Linked DNA regions of Elephas maximus indicus. The protein of the gene in region 2 interacts with the protein of the main gene of each other region in a pairwise test. Links are inferred from orthologs where the notes say so. Each region holds a gene or a part of one and is shown on either strand. Other genes may lie near its edges. The genes, in order: RASA1 and DLC1.

Evidence for each region.
Region 1: the proteins of DLC1 (region 2) and RASA1 interact in binary tests that used the Homo sapiens proteins (3 or more experiments, as listed by UniProt). The link is inferred for Elephas maximus indicus from reciprocal best matches to the Homo sapiens genes DLC1 and RASA1.

The regions. Positions count from the first base shown.
Region 1 is NC_064820.1:93,611,754-93,620,556, reverse strand, and holds the start of RASA1 (ras GTPase-activating protein 1), read right to left. Parts: upstream 4,116-8,803; 5' UTR 3,500-4,115; coding exon 2,982-3,499; intron 1-2,981. UniProt on the Homo sapiens protein: Inhibitory regulator of the Ras-cyclic AMP pathway. Stimulates the GTPase of normal but not oncogenic Ras p21; this stimulation may be further increased in the presence of NCK1.
Region 2 is NC_064840.1:73,076,854-73,086,068, forward strand, and holds the start of DLC1 (rho GTPase-activating protein 7), read right to left. Parts: upstream 4,068-9,215; 5' UTR 3,862-4,067; intron 3,421-3,861; exon of another isoform or gene 3,018-3,420; intron 1-3,017. UniProt on the Homo sapiens protein: Functions as a GTPase-activating protein for the small GTPases RHOA, RHOB, RHOC and CDC42, terminating their downstream signaling.

The DNA.
Region 1 (8,803 bases), on a different chromosome or scaffold from region 2:
TTAAAAATAATTTAGAACTACAATGGCCTAAATATGCCTACTTCAATTAAGTTGCAGAATAGGCATAAAGCTAGATTTCTTTGGTATGAAAAGTTACACGGTTTATTACAACCACAGTCTTGAGCACATACTAGGTACTTAATACTTAACTGATTTTTTTCAAAAAGGCCTGATGATGTGCAAGTAGTGCTGTAAGACCAGAATTTTTTTTATGACTTAAAACACAAATTTATTATTTGACAGTTTTGGAGGTCAAAAGTCCAAAACAGGCATCACTGGGCTAAAACAAAGTTGTCAGTAGGGCTGCATTCGTTTCTGGAGATTGTAGAGGAAAATCTATTTTATTGCCTTTTACTTGGCTATGGGCCTCCATTTTCAAGTAAGCAATGATTGGTTGAGAATTTCCCACATCACATCACTCTGACACTGACTCTTTTGTCCCCATTTCCATCTTTTAAGAATTCTTGTGATTACACTGGATAATTAAGGATAATCTTCCTATTTTAAGGTCGTCTGATTAGCAATCTTAATCCACCTGCAACTTTAATTCCCTCTTAGACTGTGGCAAAATACACTCACAGGTTTCAAGGATTTTAGGTTCAGAGCATCTTTCAGGGGCCATTATTCTGCCTACACAGTTGGGGGTCTTTTGAATCTAGAGATTAGTTTGGGGAAAACTGACATTTTAACAATACTGAGTCTTCCAATCCATAAATATGACATATCTCCATATTCATTTAGGTCTTTAATTTCTCTTAGTAATGTTTAGTAGTTTTCAACATAGAGGTCTTGTACCTCATTTGCTTAGATTTATTCCTGGGAATCTTATGTTTTTTGATGCTATTGTAACTAGTATTATCTTTTAAATTTCAGTTTTCTATTGTTTACTGCTTATACAGAAATACAATTGAGTTTTGTATTTTCTTTTTTTCATTGTACTTTAGACAGGTTTACAGAGCAAACTAGCTTCTCATTAAACAATTAATACACATATTGTTTTGTGACACTGGTTGCCAAACTCACAACATCTCAACACTCTCCCCTTCTAGACCTTGGGTTCCTCATTACCAGCTTTCCTGTCCCCTCCTGCCTTGTCCTTGCCCCTGGGCTGGTGTGCCCACTTAGTCTCATTTTGTTTTACGGTCCAGTCTAACCTTTGGCTGAAGGATGAACCTCAGGAGTGACTTCAGTACTGAATTACAACGGTGTCCGGGGGCCATATTCTCAGGGTTTCTCCAGTCTCTGTCAGACCAGTAAGTCTGGTTTTTTGTTTTGTTTTGTGAGTTTGAATTTTATCCTACATTGTTCTCCAGCTCTGTTCAGGATCCTCTCTTGTGCTCCCCGTAAGAGCAGTCAGTGGTGGTAGCTGGGCACTATCTAGTTGTACTGGACTCAGTCTGGTGGAGGTTATGGTAGTTGTAGTCTACCAGTTCTTTGGACTAATCTTTCCCTTGCGTCTTTGGTTTTCTTCATTCTCCCTTGCTCCAGATGGGATGAGATCAATCTAGCATCTTAGATGGCCGCTCATAAGCTTTTAAGACCCCAGACGCTACTCACCAAAGTAGAATGTAGTACATTTTCTTTGTAAACTATGTTATGCCAATTGAGCTAGATGTTCCTGGAGACCATGGTCCCCACAGTCCTCAGCCCAGTAATCTGGTCCCTCAGGGTAAAATTGGAATTTTTAATAAAGCCATAACCCCCTCCAAAAATATCTGCAATGCACAGACATAAGCCAGAATAAAATTACACAAAAAAAACTGAACTCTATGGAATAGTATAAAAGGAATATTCAACATTCTTATACCGTAACTGGCATAAATAAGACTAATTTACTTTTCCACCTTAAATATCAAAACATAATGCCTTAAGTCAAAAATAGATTGGTATTACAATATCTCTTGCTAATTTCTTTTTTTTTTTTTTTCTTCTTTCTAAATTCTCTGATGAAGGCTTTTGATTGTCCAGTGACTGTCATCATATGAACCAAATCTTTTTTCCTGGGATAATCATCAAATATTCTGAAATTCTGTCAATTAAACTGATGTGGGGAGTCTACAAAACAAGTTTTGTCAGCTATTACCATTTCCCATCTCAACATCTTGGTCTCATCAAGGTCCACCTTTTTAAACACATACCAAAGTCCACTTATGAAAATAACAAAGGGAAGGTACTAACAATAAAAAAAAAAAAAATCTGTCATATATATTCTACAGCAACTGTTAAAATTAATTTTCAAACAGGATATTGTATTGGCCACCAACAAAAAGTGCTGATAAGAAGCACTATTAATTTTGTTTTGCTTCAGTATTGTACTTACAGAATCTCAACTACAAAGGAATTACACTGGTAGTGACATATACTCTATGAAACAAGTTACAGACATCGTTGGAGTATGAAACCCTTAATCACACCTGGAATTCACAGAACTGCTTTCCTAATTCTCTCTGACCGCCTAAAAGATCCAGAGACTTTTCTATATCACTGTGTTTTCAGCAGACAAAAATTGGGATTTGCAGTTCAACAAAAACAAAGCCTTCTGACCAATGCATTCTCGAATGATGTTAACCCAATACTCAAATGCTCGTATTCAAAGCTTCTGGGAACACACACACAGGTTAACATAGTCAATGACTGCCTTGGTAGCTGCAAACTCAGCTGAATCCTGGGACACCACCTCAATTTAGAAGGAGCAGAACCATATCCGGTTCTCAATGAATACATATTTTTCCATGCTTCCCATCTTAAAAACTTTCCATCTTCCCAGAGGAGCAATAAATATACGAAGGCGCCAGGAGATACGATATACCTGTAAGGAAGATGGGTGATTATATTAAATCCCCGCACATGGAGCCTGAAACTTAAAAACTTTTTCCAGAACAAATCACAGGTGAAAGAACACCATACGTTTCCCCACTTTTACTCCCCACTTCTTTCCTGGAGGCCGCTTCCCGGGTCCCTCAACAGCAGTCTTGACTTACTGGTTAGTTGGGGGAGCGGTCAGGGGGATGGCCACCTCTTCTTCCTCATATTCTGGTCCATCCAGAGAGTCACCTTCGTCCACTGTCGCCAGGCTCGCGCCCAAAGTAGGCAGCTGAGGCGGCGGCGGCAGAGGGGGAAATCCGCCGCCTGGCCCTAGGGTCTCAGCAAGCAACGAAGCGGGCCCCTTGGTGAGAGCCATGTCCCCACCAGGGCCGGGGGCAGCTGCACCAGCCACACCAGCGGTAGCACCTCCCCCTGTCAGTCCGGCTCCCCCCAGTGTCCCCACCACAGACCCGGCTCCTAGGAACGCTGGCCCATATGAAGCTCCGCCACTCAGATTCCCGACCACTTCAGCCTCGGTCAGCCCAGGATAAGGGGCGGATGCCACAGGCAGGGCCGCAGGTATCTTCATCCGACACACAGCCGGATAGGCATTCGAGCCTGCCGCCGCGCCGCCGCCTCCTGCCCCGCCGGTCACCGGGCCGCCCTCCTCGCTGCCGGCCTCGGCCGCCATCATGTTGAAGCCCGCTCTACTCTGCCCTGCCCTGCCTGCCCGGGAGCCCCGGGGGCCACCAGGCCCGGGCTCCGAGTCGCCCCACCCAGGCGCGTTCCCCCTTCAGTTCCCCAGGCGGAGGAAACAACAACAAAAGGAGAGAGCCCGACGCCGCCGCGCCCCCTCCTCGGGCCACAGCCCAGGCTCTGGAGCTGCCCGGGTTACGGGAAGCGAAGTGGGCAAAAAATCCTACGCCTGCACAAACGCTGCCCAAACCTTCACTTTACACACCCACACGCACGCACACACACATGCAGAGAAGCGAAAAACTTCCTGGCTGCACTAAAGAGGAAGGGAAGCAAGGGGGAAGCGGCTGGGGCGGCTTCCACTGCTTCAGCCACTGCTGCCGCCGCCACCACCGCCTCTTCACCACCGGAGTTCCCGCCACCCCCACCAAAGCCACCGCCGGTGTTGCTGCTGGGGCTGGGGCCACTGTGGCCGCTTCATCCTCCACCGGGCTGGAGATGGGAGGGGTGGAGAGAGAATGAAGAAGGGGGGCGGGGTGCTGGGGAAATGAACTGAACTGCTCACAACCTAGAGCTCAGTGAAACCCAAGGAGAGAGAAAGGAAGGCGGGACAGGGGAGGAGGAACGGAGGGAAGGAAGGGCGGAGGAGGAGGGAGAGGGCAGTGTCTGCGCAGGCGCGTTCCCGGCGCGGGGGCGGGGGGAACGGGGCCTGGAGGGAGGAAAAGGAAGAGTCCGGAGGGAAGGAAGCGGCGGGGGCGCGCGGCGCGTGGCCTGGCTCGCTGTCCCGCTCTGTTTAGAGCGCGTGGCGGTACGACCGCTTCTTTGGGTGTCGCCGGCGGCGCGCGCCTGCCTCCCGGGGCTTTGTTTGATGGGCGGGTGGCCTGCGTAAGGGGCCTCGTGCCTACCAGAACGGCGGCGCAAGCCCAACTAACCCGTGGCGGTCCTCTCTGGTTGCAGGAGATAGGGTAAAGGAGGCGAGGCCCCTGAGCGCCTTGAAGACGGGAGAGATGAGAGGGACAAGGAGGCAGTGGAGAGGAAGGAATGAGAAAGGGAAAGGAAGGTGCCACAGAGCCAGTCCCTTACTTCCAGACCCGTGGATAAAACGGCCTTAGCCGGAGGCCCAGATAGCAGCCAGCTGTGGGGGTGGATGAGGGGCTTGTGATGCTGCTGCCAAGACCCAGGCTGTACCGTTAATTTTTTTTTTTTTTTTTTTTTGCATGATATAAATCACAGTACGACTATTACAAACTCAAAAAAAAAAAAAAAGACTTTCTGGTACCCAAAAGAAGGAAACAAATAAACAGGACCACGGCACTGGGTTTTTTTTGGTTTTATATGGGAATAACGGGAGCTTTGGTAGAAATAAATGTGGTTGTGAAGTCAGATGTCTACCAATATATGTTTTGTTTTTTTTAAAACACACAGACACGTACTTTCACCTGTGCCATTGCAAGTCTCGTGAGTACTAAGGAAGGGGTGTGGGAAGGAGGAGCCACAGCCGACACCAACCATGCTTTTCTCCTCACACTTGTGCAGAAAACTGCAGGGCATGGTGCATATGTGAGTTGACACAGCACCTTCAATAAGCCAAATGCCAGAGAGACCCTAAAGTATCAAAAAAAAAAAAAAGATAGATGTAATTTTAAAAATTATCAATTAACAAATCCCACCCTTAGTATGGCCAAAGAGAGAGGATTTGTTTTGCTTTTTGTACTAGAATGTATGTAAGCTGTGGTATGCATTCATGTATGTGATGGACTCATTTCCATTGTTTGAGATTACACTATTGGTGTACTGGGTTGGATGTTGTTACGTGCTGTCATTTCTCTATTTACAACGAAATTGCCTTGTCCTGGGCCATCCTCACAATCGGTGTTTTTGAGGCCATTGCTGCAGCCACTGTATCACTCCATCTCGTTGGGGTTCTTCCTCTTTTTTGCTCACCATCTACCTGGGTTGAGTAGTGTCCCCCCAAAAAATCATGTTCACCCAGAACCTGTGAATGTGCCCATATTTGGAAATAGGGTCTTTGCAGGTATAATCAGGATGAGGGTCCACTGCATGTGGGTAGGCCCTAAACCTAATATGACTGCTGCCCTTATAAAAAGAGGGAAATGTAGACACAGCCCATGTGACAATGGAGAGAGCCTGGAGTTATGTATCTACAAGCCAAGGAATGCCAAAGATTGCCAAAACCATCAAAAGCTAGGAGAGATAGCATGGCCTGCTGACATTTTTATTTCAGGCTTCTAGCCTCCAGAACTGTGAGTGAATTTCTATTGTGTTAAGCCATCCAGTTTGTGGTACCTTATTATGGCAGCCCTAGAAAACTAATGCGATTGATAACGTACCCATTTAGATTCATATATTGTTCTTGTCTTTTAGATTTGTACTGGATGGATCAACCTTGAATACCATTGAATATTGATTTTTGAGATCAATATTTTTTCTGATAAGGACAATCAAACCAGCATAGGAGCAGATTGTAGATGGGGGGCTGTAATAGAGGCCTGGGAAAAAGAGTAAAGATTGCTAAAAGAGGTGACAAGGTACACTCTGTACATTTACTTCAGAAGTTTGCGTAGGCCAGTTATCAAGTCAGTGATAAACTTGATTAAATAGTAGTTCTGAGAATTCCTAAATCGTTCTACCTCTTACCCAGTGTACCACCTGGGAGAATGAAGATGGACTAGTCAGTCACCAGAACTATAGTTACAGAACTATAGTTGTCAAAGTGACCTCAGACCAGCAATATCCAAGAAACTTGCTAGAAATGCATATTTTCAGACCCCTCTGAATCAGGCCCTCTGAACTGTGGGCCAGAGGGCTCAACAATCTATACTCCTTTAGTGAGTCTCCAAGTACCTGTTTGCTCAATTGAGTTTGAGAACCACTGCTCTAGAATATAGTATACTAATCAAGAAACCAAAAAAAAAAAAAACCCATTGCCATTGAGTCAATTCCAACTCAGCAACCCTATAGGGTAGAGTAGAACTGCGCCACACAGTTTCCAAGGAGCACCTAGTGGATTTGAATTGCCGACCTTTTGGTTAGCAGCCGTAGCTTAGCTTATCTAGTTTATGTTTAACTCTTAACCACTACGCCACTAATCAAGAAGGTGTGCAATACCTAAACACATTCTGAAAGAAAGAATGAACAAGAAAGCAGACTCAATGGCATTCATTAAGTGTATGGGTAAGAGCTGTAGGTGTTGGGTTACTAAATTCTATGCTAGCCCAGAAAGAAGGTTAGGAAATGAAAAAGAGCAGAATGAAGTAGTTTATAGTACTTAAGAGAATAATGAAGTACTACCGGTACTTATGGTGGTCCTCTGATAACATTTTTTTCTTTCTTTCTTTTTTTAATTTTAGAACCTCAGAAGAGACCATCGAAGTAACTACTCCAGCTATTGCCTAATGCATAAATTCCAAGTACAGCATCCCCAACAAGTTTTCATATAGCCTTGGCTTGAAGGCCTGCAGTGTGTTAGCATCTTTCTTAGTTATTTAGTACTGCTATAGTAGAAATAACGCAAGTAGGTGGCTTTAACAAACAGAGATTTATTTTCTCAAGTTTGGAAGGCTAACCTGCTGCCATCGAGTCAACTGGAAGACTAGAAGTCTGAAATCAGGGCAACAGCTCTAGGGGAAGACTTTCTCTGCTGGCTTTGGGAGAAGGTCATTATCTCTTCAGCTTCTATTCCTTGGCTTCTTGGTGATCTTTGTGTGGTGTAGCATCTATCTTCCTCCATCTCTCCTTGCTCACTTGTTTAATCTCTTTTTTATCTCAGAACAGATTGACTGAAGACACACTCTACACTAATCAAATCCTTACCAAACCCATTGCCATCGAGTGGATTCTCACTCACAGCAACCCTATAGAATAGAGTAGAGCTGCCCCATAGAATTTCAAAGGCTGTAAATCCTTATGGAAGCAGACTGCCACATCTTTCTCCTGTGGAGCAGCTGATGGGTTACCATTGGGTTAGCAGCCAAATGCTTAACCACTTTGCCACCAGGACTCCTTCCTAGACTAATACTGCCTAATTAACATAAGAAAAGCCATTCCCAAGTGGGATTATAACCACAATTGTAGAGGTTAGGATTTTGGGGGGGACACAATTCAATCCTAAACAGCATCCCACACCTCCAATGCGTTCACTTCAGTCACCACTATCAGTCAGTCAATATAAGGCATTGAACTGGCCAGTTAGCAGGTCTTGGTTACAACTGATCTGTAAGTGCTCACATACCGCCTATATTCAGCCCGAGAGCTTAGGTATAATTTGCAGAATTCCCCTTTTTGAAAATTCTTACACACTTAAAAGCCAATATTTAATGCAGTCTGACACCAATTATATACTGCGTTATGTTGCTTTCTAGTTATTTTTAGGCCCTGGTGGCGTAGTGGAAACCCTGGTGGCGTTGTGGTTAAGTGCTACAGCTGCTAACCAAAGGGCTGGCAGTTCGAATCTGCCAGGTGCTCCTTGGAAACTCTATGGGGCAGTTCTACCCTGTCCTATAGGGTCGCTAGGAGTTGGAATCGACTCGACGGCACTGGGTTTGGTTTATTTATTATTTTTTTTTGGTGGTGTAGTGGTTTGAGTGTTGGGCTGCTAACCAAAAGGTTGGCAGTTCAAATCTATCAGCCACTCCTTGGAAACCCTGTGGGATGATTCTACTCTGCCCTATAGGGTCGCTATGATTTTGAATCAACTCCACGACAACCTGCTTGGTTTTGGTTTTATTTACAAGACTAGACTGCAAAGGCATTCTATGGTCTATTCTACTGCCTATCCCAGTGCTAGGCATCTTTAAAACATTGCTTTGAAAAGATCTCCACCCTTTCAATAGATACTGGGTTAGATCAGCTCACATGTTTGGAAATCAATTTCTCAGCTAGTAGGAAGGACCTCCTATGTCTATTCATAAATCAACCTAGTATGGCTATCTTATCTAGCTTATGTTTAACTTTAGAATTAGCATTGTCCTTTTCATCCAAAGAGATTACCACACATTTTTGACAAGGTATCTTCAAAATATTTTATTTTTTTAAGAATATTTTGCAAAATATTCTGACCATCAGACAGATCTAGACTTTGAGGTTTACTATTTCTTATGCGGAAGCCCTGCCGATGTAGTGGTTAAGTGCTGTGGCTGTACACCCAAAATTCGGCAGTTCGGATCCACCAGGTGTTCCTTGGAAACTCTATAGGGCAGTACTACTCTGTCCTATAGGGTTGCTATGCGTCAGAATTGACAGCAACAGGTGGAGGTACAAGTATTGCTTGCATACTTCGTTA
Region 2 (9,215 bases):
TCGCATGTTCAATTTTTGACATGTCTTTATTTTGCTAATAAATCCCTGATCCAGATCTAGGCCATCTTTCTCGTGAAAGCTTGCTGTGCTGTGTTAATTTCTACAAAGAGATTGTCACTGTAAGATAGTACTGACAGCGCTTCGTTCATTCTCCAAGAAACAGATAAAATAAAAACCAAAGGCAAATTTTAGATGACCCAATTTAGACTTATTTTAAGTCTATAAGACCTAACCCTCTATAAATAAGATTAAACTATGCCTAAAGTATTTGTAGCAGGCATATGGTATAAGAAGTTTTGGATAGGGCCAGAAAAATTCTCCTTTTTTGGTCTAATGGCTTTAATTAAAAATGAAATGTGTTGTCTTTTCAAGGTCCTGTAGGAATCATGCGATACACAGAGGCTTTGCTACATTAATTCCTCATTCCAGTAATGGTGACACTGGAAGTGTTGAATTGGGTATCTTTTAAGTGGTAACATCGGGAAACAGCCTCGTTCATGAATATGGGAGGAGAAAAAAAAGAAAAAAGAAAAAAGCATCATCACACACATTCCCCCTAAAGAAACAGCGTGCTTTGGAGATGGCAAACATTAGTTTTATGAGAAGGGCTATTGCCTTGGAAAGTGTAGTGTTTCAGCTTGCATAGCAGCCTATATTGTCATGGGTGAAATATGATTCAGATGAAATGCCCAACTCTCCCAAGCATTATTTAAATACTGTGACACATCCTATATTCTCCAACTACAGGACCTTGCAGAAGGCTCAGAATAGAGATACAAACCAATTACAGGATGGAAAATAAGCTGAAGAAGGGAAGGTGAGAGGAATGGGCTTATCTGACCTGGAAATATACCCTTGAGCAATCATGTGTCCATTTAGACTTTTTATATTTCCACTGAGGAAAAAACTCAAAAAACTGGAAATAAGCTGCAGCAATCACGATTTAGGTTAGATTAAAAAAAAAAGTCTGGATACATGAGGTTCTTAAACAGTTTCCAACGGGGAAAGGGCAGCAAAATCTCCTCTGAAAGTCACTGGTTGGGATGGCTTTATTATGATACCATTTGAATACAAGGATATGAATTAGTCAAACTCTCGTCTAGCCCTGTGTTTCTAAGAAACACCAGTTTAAAATTAATATAATTATTAGCACATGGAGCGATTTTCCTGGCACGAACATGAGATGTGACAGAACGATCACAAAACAAGTTATTCATTTACAGTGCTGGCTAAAGCCACAGTAAATATTTTTAAGAAAACTTGTGCATTTGAGAAAACTGTATTACTTAGTAAACTTGCTTTTTTTTTGAAACCTTGATTTTTTTGTTTCCCACGTAAGTAACACTAGTGGCAGCTTTAAACCTTTTTTTTTTGTTTTTAAGAGGCACTCCAATTTCTGTCTGCGAAGTAGCCTTTTCTCCTGGACACGCTCATACTTCATTTTGCACATTATCTGAGAGCAACACGCTGTGCTGTAGAGATGTCTGGACCATGAATTGGGGGACTGTGTTTCACTGTCCTCTCTTCACTAGCGAGTGGTATGATCTTGGACAGGTCACTTAAGAATGCCATTCCTCAGTCCCCTTGTCAGAAGCCTGAGGGCACTGTTGGAAAAGATGATCTCTTACGTTCTCTCCTTCCCCGAAATTCTCTTCAAGGATTTTATTAAGCTACACTGTAGATAAGTCAGTATATACATATATTTAACATTTATAGATACATCGATCCTTTTTCTCATGGATTGAAAGTTTCAACATGACAAATTGTTAGTGAACGGTTAAAACATATCAATATGTTATTCTAGCATAGATTTTAAGAATAAATTAACTTATCCAGTAAATGGCCACCCTGTACTATGTAAAAGCTCATCATTAAAACATTTGATTTTTTTATGACCCAGCTGTCAAAGTAGCTCTCCAACTTTCATTCAGTGTACTAACAGATGAGTTACTCTAACTGACTCGGTAATGTGCCTGAATCTTTGCTCCCTTTTACACCATTCCATGTTATGTCCAGAAAATAATGGTGTTTATTCTAAATATTTGAAGGTATAAATGTAACAATATGCTATGCATTGGTAGTCCATGCTATTTCAGTAATATAAAGTTTCTTTCCTCATATCTTGCATATTTAACCCTTTAAGGTAGATGTGGTGGCACCATAGTCCTTTAGACATGTAGTTTTATGGTTATATGAAGCATGGATGCTTGATCCATCTTTCATATGATTGTGGAGATTTCCGGCTGTCCTAAAACAGTAATAATGAACGGCATTGTCATTAAGGTTTACTTTCATCTTTCAAAAACATCCACAGAAAATACAACCTGATCAGTGAATTCAGAAAAGGAAATATATAAATTAAATAATAAGTGTGATATTTCAATTTCTGAAACTCAGATGAAATACTAGTTAGGGCAGAAATAAGTTCTGAAATTTCATGCATTTGTTACTTTTTTTTTTTAAGCTCTACACAAACAGCTTGACCTGTAGTTGAAACTGATATGCAGAGATATTGAGGAACCCAATAGTCATAATCGTAAATGCGACACAAATCAGCTGTCTTAGGAGATTCATTATTAAAGCAGTTACCCTACTAATATCTACTCTCCCTGTGGGCAAAAGACGGTTTAAAAAAAAAAAAATGGAATCTATTCACATCTCATCCCTACGTGTTAGAACATATATGCGTTACATTTTATCTCATGTGTTCGAAAAACTGCTCTTATAGCTCAATTAATAAATAAGTTAAGAATAAAAAGGGATCAAAATAAAATCTTACTTTATGGAGGAAAAGAGTAAAATCTATATGGAGGCTGTTTTAGAAATGACATTTTGCTAAAACTATTTGACTCACAGTTTTCTACTTAGTAAACATTTTTCACTTCTGATTTCATGGCTTAACTCAAAAACCTAGGAAGACACCCCTCGGGTCCAAGGTGCTAACATTTATCTCAGTCTTTCCACCTCTCCAACGATTACCTCCAAGTATAAAGACAGAGCCCAGCAGACCTTCTTACCTAGACAACGAGAAGCTGAGACGCCCAGGCAAGACACTGTTCAACACTCGGGCTATGAAAGAAGTCCGTCCCGTTAGTTTCTCCAGAATACAAGTTCACATTTCGTGGTTGAGATCATGGCTCTATTCTAAGCAGTTTTACGCAGTGTGTGATTCTAACCAAAACACCCTCCGCAGCTGGAGGGAGCCTTAGCTAAAGCAGGATTCTGTCAAGGCGTTCCTGGTGACTTCTGTCTACTCAATTCAGACTGATGTTTTGCGAAAGGGGCCTCCACAACCAGGCCCAGATTGCCTGGAAAGTATTTCCTGCCTCTGAGTAGTGTGTATGTGAGAAAGACTGCAGTTGGGGAGGGGAGCGAGAGAGAGCAGAGCCCGGCTGGGCGTTTTAGGAATTCTGATTTTACACAGAACTGAAGTGAGTTTGTCAAAGCTCTTGAGGTGATTAGCTGGAGAGTCATAAAGTCTTAGAGCTTTTTCTAGCCCACGTTGCTGATGAAAGAAAAAAAGAAAGAAAGAAAACACAGTTCTCTTCCCCAGCTACAACCTTTCCACTACATTCAATGCATATACACAGCTTAGCCAAAATACCTTTGCCAGTGCTCCTTTCAAAAGATCTTTTAAGAGAGCAAGATGAATGTAGAGTTTTAATACCGTAATTCTTCTAAATTTTAAAACCCTTTTCCCACTCCTTAAAACTTCAAAGTGCTGCTGCTCTACAGATAGCACCTGAGAAAATCTACAATTCCAAGAACCCAGTAAATCCAACGTTTTCTTCAAGATCTCTCCAATCCCAAATCGCTGTCACGAATCAAAGTGGTTGTGGGTTGTGGCATAAGCAGCTTTACCTCTAGTCAGAATCCTCCAGACTTACACAAATCCAGGGCTGGAAAGGCAGGAGACAGACTCCATCTTGATCATATTAGAATCCTGCTGACATTAAATACTTTGCGACTGCTTCCACCTAACACGACAGAGTCTCTGAATCACGTCTCTAAAGCAGCTCACGGTACCAACACCCTATGCCCGACACGATTTTTGTGAACATCATCTGTTTATCTTTTCTGCTTTCTCGTGCCTCCACTGAATGACTTCCTCCTAGCTGCTCCACGCTGGGAACTTGGACTACCATTTGGTTTTGATTAAAACCAGACAGCCAACTCCGGAGAATTTAGGGAATAAGCTAATGGAAACTGCAAGTATGGCTTTAATTAGTGCATCAATTAATAATAGATGTTAGCTCCTCTTGTAATAAAATGTCACAAATACAAAAGCAGAGGAAGCGTGAGCCGTTTCAGGGAAGAAGTCACAACCATTCTCATTCCCTTATGACCCAGCGTACTCCTTAGGCAAAGTGGAAGGAGAGCAGAGGGACATGGCCTTGGGACATCCAGTTTGTAGAGAGGTCAGTGGGGGGACTTCTTTGTTTAGACCGGAGAAGCGGAGAACAGTGTCTCTGAGTTTAATTATCTTGCTGAGTTTAAATTGCTCTGTAATTTTCCCCTTCTACTTTATTTACAATCAACAGTCTACTGTTATGTATGGCTGAAACATTTTTTTCAGGGATTGGTGATCACCAATCCAATTATTGGGTCTGTCCCTAAATTCCTAGGGATTTTCAATAATAGGAGGGACAAGGACAATTCCAGCTCAAGTATGATAAATGGGTAACACTCAAAGACAGACAAGAAACATTAAACCTATTGGCCCTAAGATCTTTCCTGCACTTCTTTGAAATTTAAGTAGCTTTCATGTTCACTTTTATTCCCAGTTGGCTCTAATTTCTGTAAATGTTGGCAGATATCTGAATAGGACTGAGCCATCTCCTCAGTACACCCTGAGAATGTTGGGTAGGTGATAACTTAAAGAAGTATGGCCTTATAGCTACTACCTCCCTTCTTAATGAATAATTAAATTCTCCCAAAATCAGTGCAGGGCACGGACAACTTTACAGATATGTTAAATGGCAAATAATAATAATGATTTATATGGCACATGAATTTGAAGGTGAGAAGTATTCAAATAAAAACATGACGGCAGAAGCAGTTTCTCAAAGCTTAGACCATAACATCACTGATCAGAAAAATGGCTGTTTAGAGTCCCTTTAACTTTCAAATGTATGCCAAGAAGGAAGTACATTCTTTCATAAATTCTTTGAAGGATTATTTATGTTCATATTCAAAGTACTTCCTCCAACACCATGCCCATTTAATCTTTGCACGCATTCCCATTTTACAGATAAAGAATTATAAATTTGTAGAAGTAATTTTCTTACGGACAAATGATGGAATGTGGCCAAGGTCAGATTGCAACTCAGGTCTTCTACGTTTTGTGCTTCTTTTCCCCCTGTAACAGTTCTGCCTCTCTTGGCTTCTGGCTTAATTGTTGTGTGAAGTTGGGAAGACGTCTTAAACTTTCTGAGTTTCAGATTCTTCTTTAACCATAGGGACAATTCTACATAACTCACAGATTAGAGACAATTAAATTCATATCCACATATATTTACATGTTTGTACTTGTTTTCCTAAGAAAAATACTAGAGTGGCGTGGAATGAGAATTGATGGAACTTCTTCCTAAAATAATTTATGTATCTCTATATTTGTCTCTGGAGCCCCGGTTGCATAGTGGTTAAGAGCTTGGCTGCTAACGAAAGCACAGCAGTTTGAATCCACAAGGTGCTCCCTGGAAACTCTATGGGGCAGTTCGACACTGTCCTATAGGGTTGCTATGAGTTGGACTCTACTCGAGGGTAACGGGTTTTTTTTTTTTTGCCTCTAGTCCTGGTGTATAGTAGGAACTCAATCAATATCAGTCGCCTGCTGATGCTGTTTAGCTAGGTTCTCCTGATGAATAGTATAACCTTTCTCCACTTACACAACTTAGCTTTGTTTCTGTTTATCCTGGTCTGAGGAAACATCAAAACCCTGTTCACATACAGTTATAAAATACCTTTTTTAGATATCCAGATACTCTTTATTAGTCAGTTTCTTTTCTCTAATCAAGGAAGATGCCATGTTTTATTCTACGCTGAGAAGGATTACTTCCTCAATCTTTAATCACTCATTTATTTTTCATCTTTCAGTTGCTTGACTCCAGACAAATCCCAGAACTTACACACTCATAAAGGCTTTACCAAATATGAGTATAAAGATAAATAATGAGATGACTTCCTTAATTCTTATCACAGTGTCAGGCACATGAAAGAGCTCCGAAGTATCTGTCCCCTTCTCCTTTTATTTGTAAATCTAAATACCTTACTCCAGCAAAGGTGTGCCTATTACTCCAAGCCCCATCGGCTAATAAAGTATGCTATCGAGGCAGTTAAGAACTTGAAAACAGAACATCCAGATAGACATCTGGCTCCAGGCTAGCATCCCATGTGACTCTGTGCAAATTTCTTAACCTCTAGAAGCTTCAGTTTTAGCCTGTGTAACTAAGTTTTTTTTTTTTTTTTGCTTTCAAAATTACAGAAGATAGTTACATAAAGCCTTAAGACTTTCTGACTAGTGCAGCGTTCAAGGTTAAAAACAGTTGCCCTTAACCTGATTCCAACTCACGGCTACCCCGTGGGTATCAAAGCAGAGCTGTGCTCCATAGGCTTTTCAAGGACTGATTTCTTCAAAAATGGATCACTGGGGTTTTCTTCCGAGGCACCTCTGAGTGAAATCAAACCTCCAGCCTTTCCGTGAGCACCCGAGAATGTGAACTGCACCACGTAGGGGTGTTTCCGCGGCGGTCAGTGTTAGGTACTATTATTTTTATCATTTAAATAATTGTACATTGTGATCCTGCTCTCTTCTGTGATATTTTTAGTATCTATTTATCTATCTAACTACCCGCCTATTGACCCCTGAGTTGAATGTATACGTGTAGAACAATTTTGCTAGTGGAGCAGTCACATGCTCTGTGGGAAGAGAAGGGACTGGCGTAAGGAAGATTCAGAGTTATTTTGAAGATCAACTGTCTTCTCACGTACCATGATCTAAGCAATAAACACTGTCTGTGATAGTCTAGGAAACCCTGGTGGCGTGGTGGTTAAGTGCTACGGCTGCTAACCGAAAGGCTGGTGGTTCTAATCCAACAGGTGCTCCTTGGAAGCTCTGCGAGGCCGTTCTACTCTGTCCTGTAGGGTTGCTAAGAGTCGGAACCAACTTGACAGCAACGGGTTTGGTTTTGGTTTATGAGAGTCTATCCAGTAATTCCTCAATTATTTTCAGGAAATCTGAATCTGGACTTCTTTAACAGAATTGTTCAATGACTTCAATGCAGTCCAATAATCCTTTGACTGCAAAGTGAGATCAATCTTTGAAAGTGATGTTTTACTCTTTCACAAATTCATCAATAATTTCAGTACCTACATTTGACATTTCCAGTCTCTTCAGTGAAGTAGGCTTCTATTCTTATTCTTTATATTTTTATGATGGGTTAGTTTCATGATAGTAATGAATTTGTAATTAATATGTAGAGAGAACAAAAGCCTTCAAAGCACTTTAGAAATGTCCACGCATGTACAGCTGGTGAAACAAATGTAGGAGGGCTTTGTCTGTGAACATTGATCATCTACAAATTCCTATTTAATGGCACTTAGCTTCTATTTTATTGGAGTTATCACATGTATGTCAAAGCAATAAAAATATAATTCATTTGACAGCATTTCTAGTAATTTTTCAGTAGCTTCAACATGAACTTTCATCCAGTAAGTTGATCTTGATAGGCACACACACAGAGGTAGAAAAAAATGACCATACAACTGTATTGTTTATAGTTAATAATCTGCTTATGTATTATTAGTCTTTCTAATCAACAGTATTAAAGTTTTGACACACCACTTTTTCTAGCCATTTAGTATTCATCTGAGAGTATTTATCAAAGGAACACAATTATGTAAGTTTGATGTTAAACTAACCAAGTTAGCAAAATTACTGAAACTCCCAAAACCAATTATACCTGTTTCTTGGATTATTATATTCCTTGCTTTGCTTCGCGGAAAATTATTACAATCCAGAAATGATTACAAAGAAAAAAAAAAACTTTGATAAATTTCCAATTGCTTTGAAAGAATATACTTAGCAAAAAGAAAAAGAAAAAAATTCTATTCGCAGAAAGTTACTTGAATATATATGACCTTAGAAGCTGATGGCTCTCGCTGCCTGTCCACAACGGCTAGGTTACTCTCAGAAACATGAAGATGACAAGTCATGCAAGGCTGGTTCCATTATCGAGAGGTCTGGGGTGCCCATCTAGTAGAGGGCTAGCTCGTATCGTACAATCATTCTGTATGAAAACTGAAGCTAACATCACCGTATGTCTCACTCCAGTCATATTTGCTAAGCTTTACCATAGTGTTCCCTGACATTCTCATATCATGGCTCGAAAATATTCCTACATCTTTAGTCAACTCAAAAAATGTTCCTCCTCACATTTGGCTTGAGCCCACACTCCGTCTGGCTTCTCCTGTAGCTTTTCAAATGGCGGCTGAATATTCTCTCCTAACCTTGTGCTCACCTGGGAAAACAGGTGAGATTGCCTATGTCCAGACTCCTCAATGCTGGGTCCAGATGCTCTCTCCTCAGTCAGATCTCCGCTCCAACCACATCCCTGCCCTTTGATGGTCATTCTGCCTGTCTCCTTAACAAGTGCTCTATCTACTATAAAGAATGGAGCAGCATTCTCAGCCTATCATCAGAAGGCCACACAGTTGGTACAAAGGCTTATATCCTTGAAAGAATGTCTGTTCCATTTCTGTTAAAATGTAAATATATATTTGTATTTTTCCCTTTAAAATGGAACCACTGGAGACCTTCAGAATACAAAAACATGCTTAGTATCCATTCACACATATACATTGTATAGTTACTGTTCTGAAGGCAATGTTGGTTCAATGATAAGAGTTCTCACCTTCTATGCAGGAGCCCTGGTGATGCAGTGGTTAAGTGCTACAGCTGCTCACCAAAAGGTGGGCAGTTCAAATCACCAGCTGCTCCTTGGAAACCCTACGGGGCAGTTCTGTCCTATAGGGTTGCTATGAGTCGGAATCGACTGGACTGTAACAGGTTTTATGCGTATGCGAGACTCATACTCAATTCCGAGCCAATGTGCCTCAGGTGCAGTCCCCACCCATCTGTCAGCGGAGCCTCCTGTGTTAAAAAGGGACTAGGAAGGAAGGCCTAGTGATCTGCTTCTAAAAATTAGCCCATGATA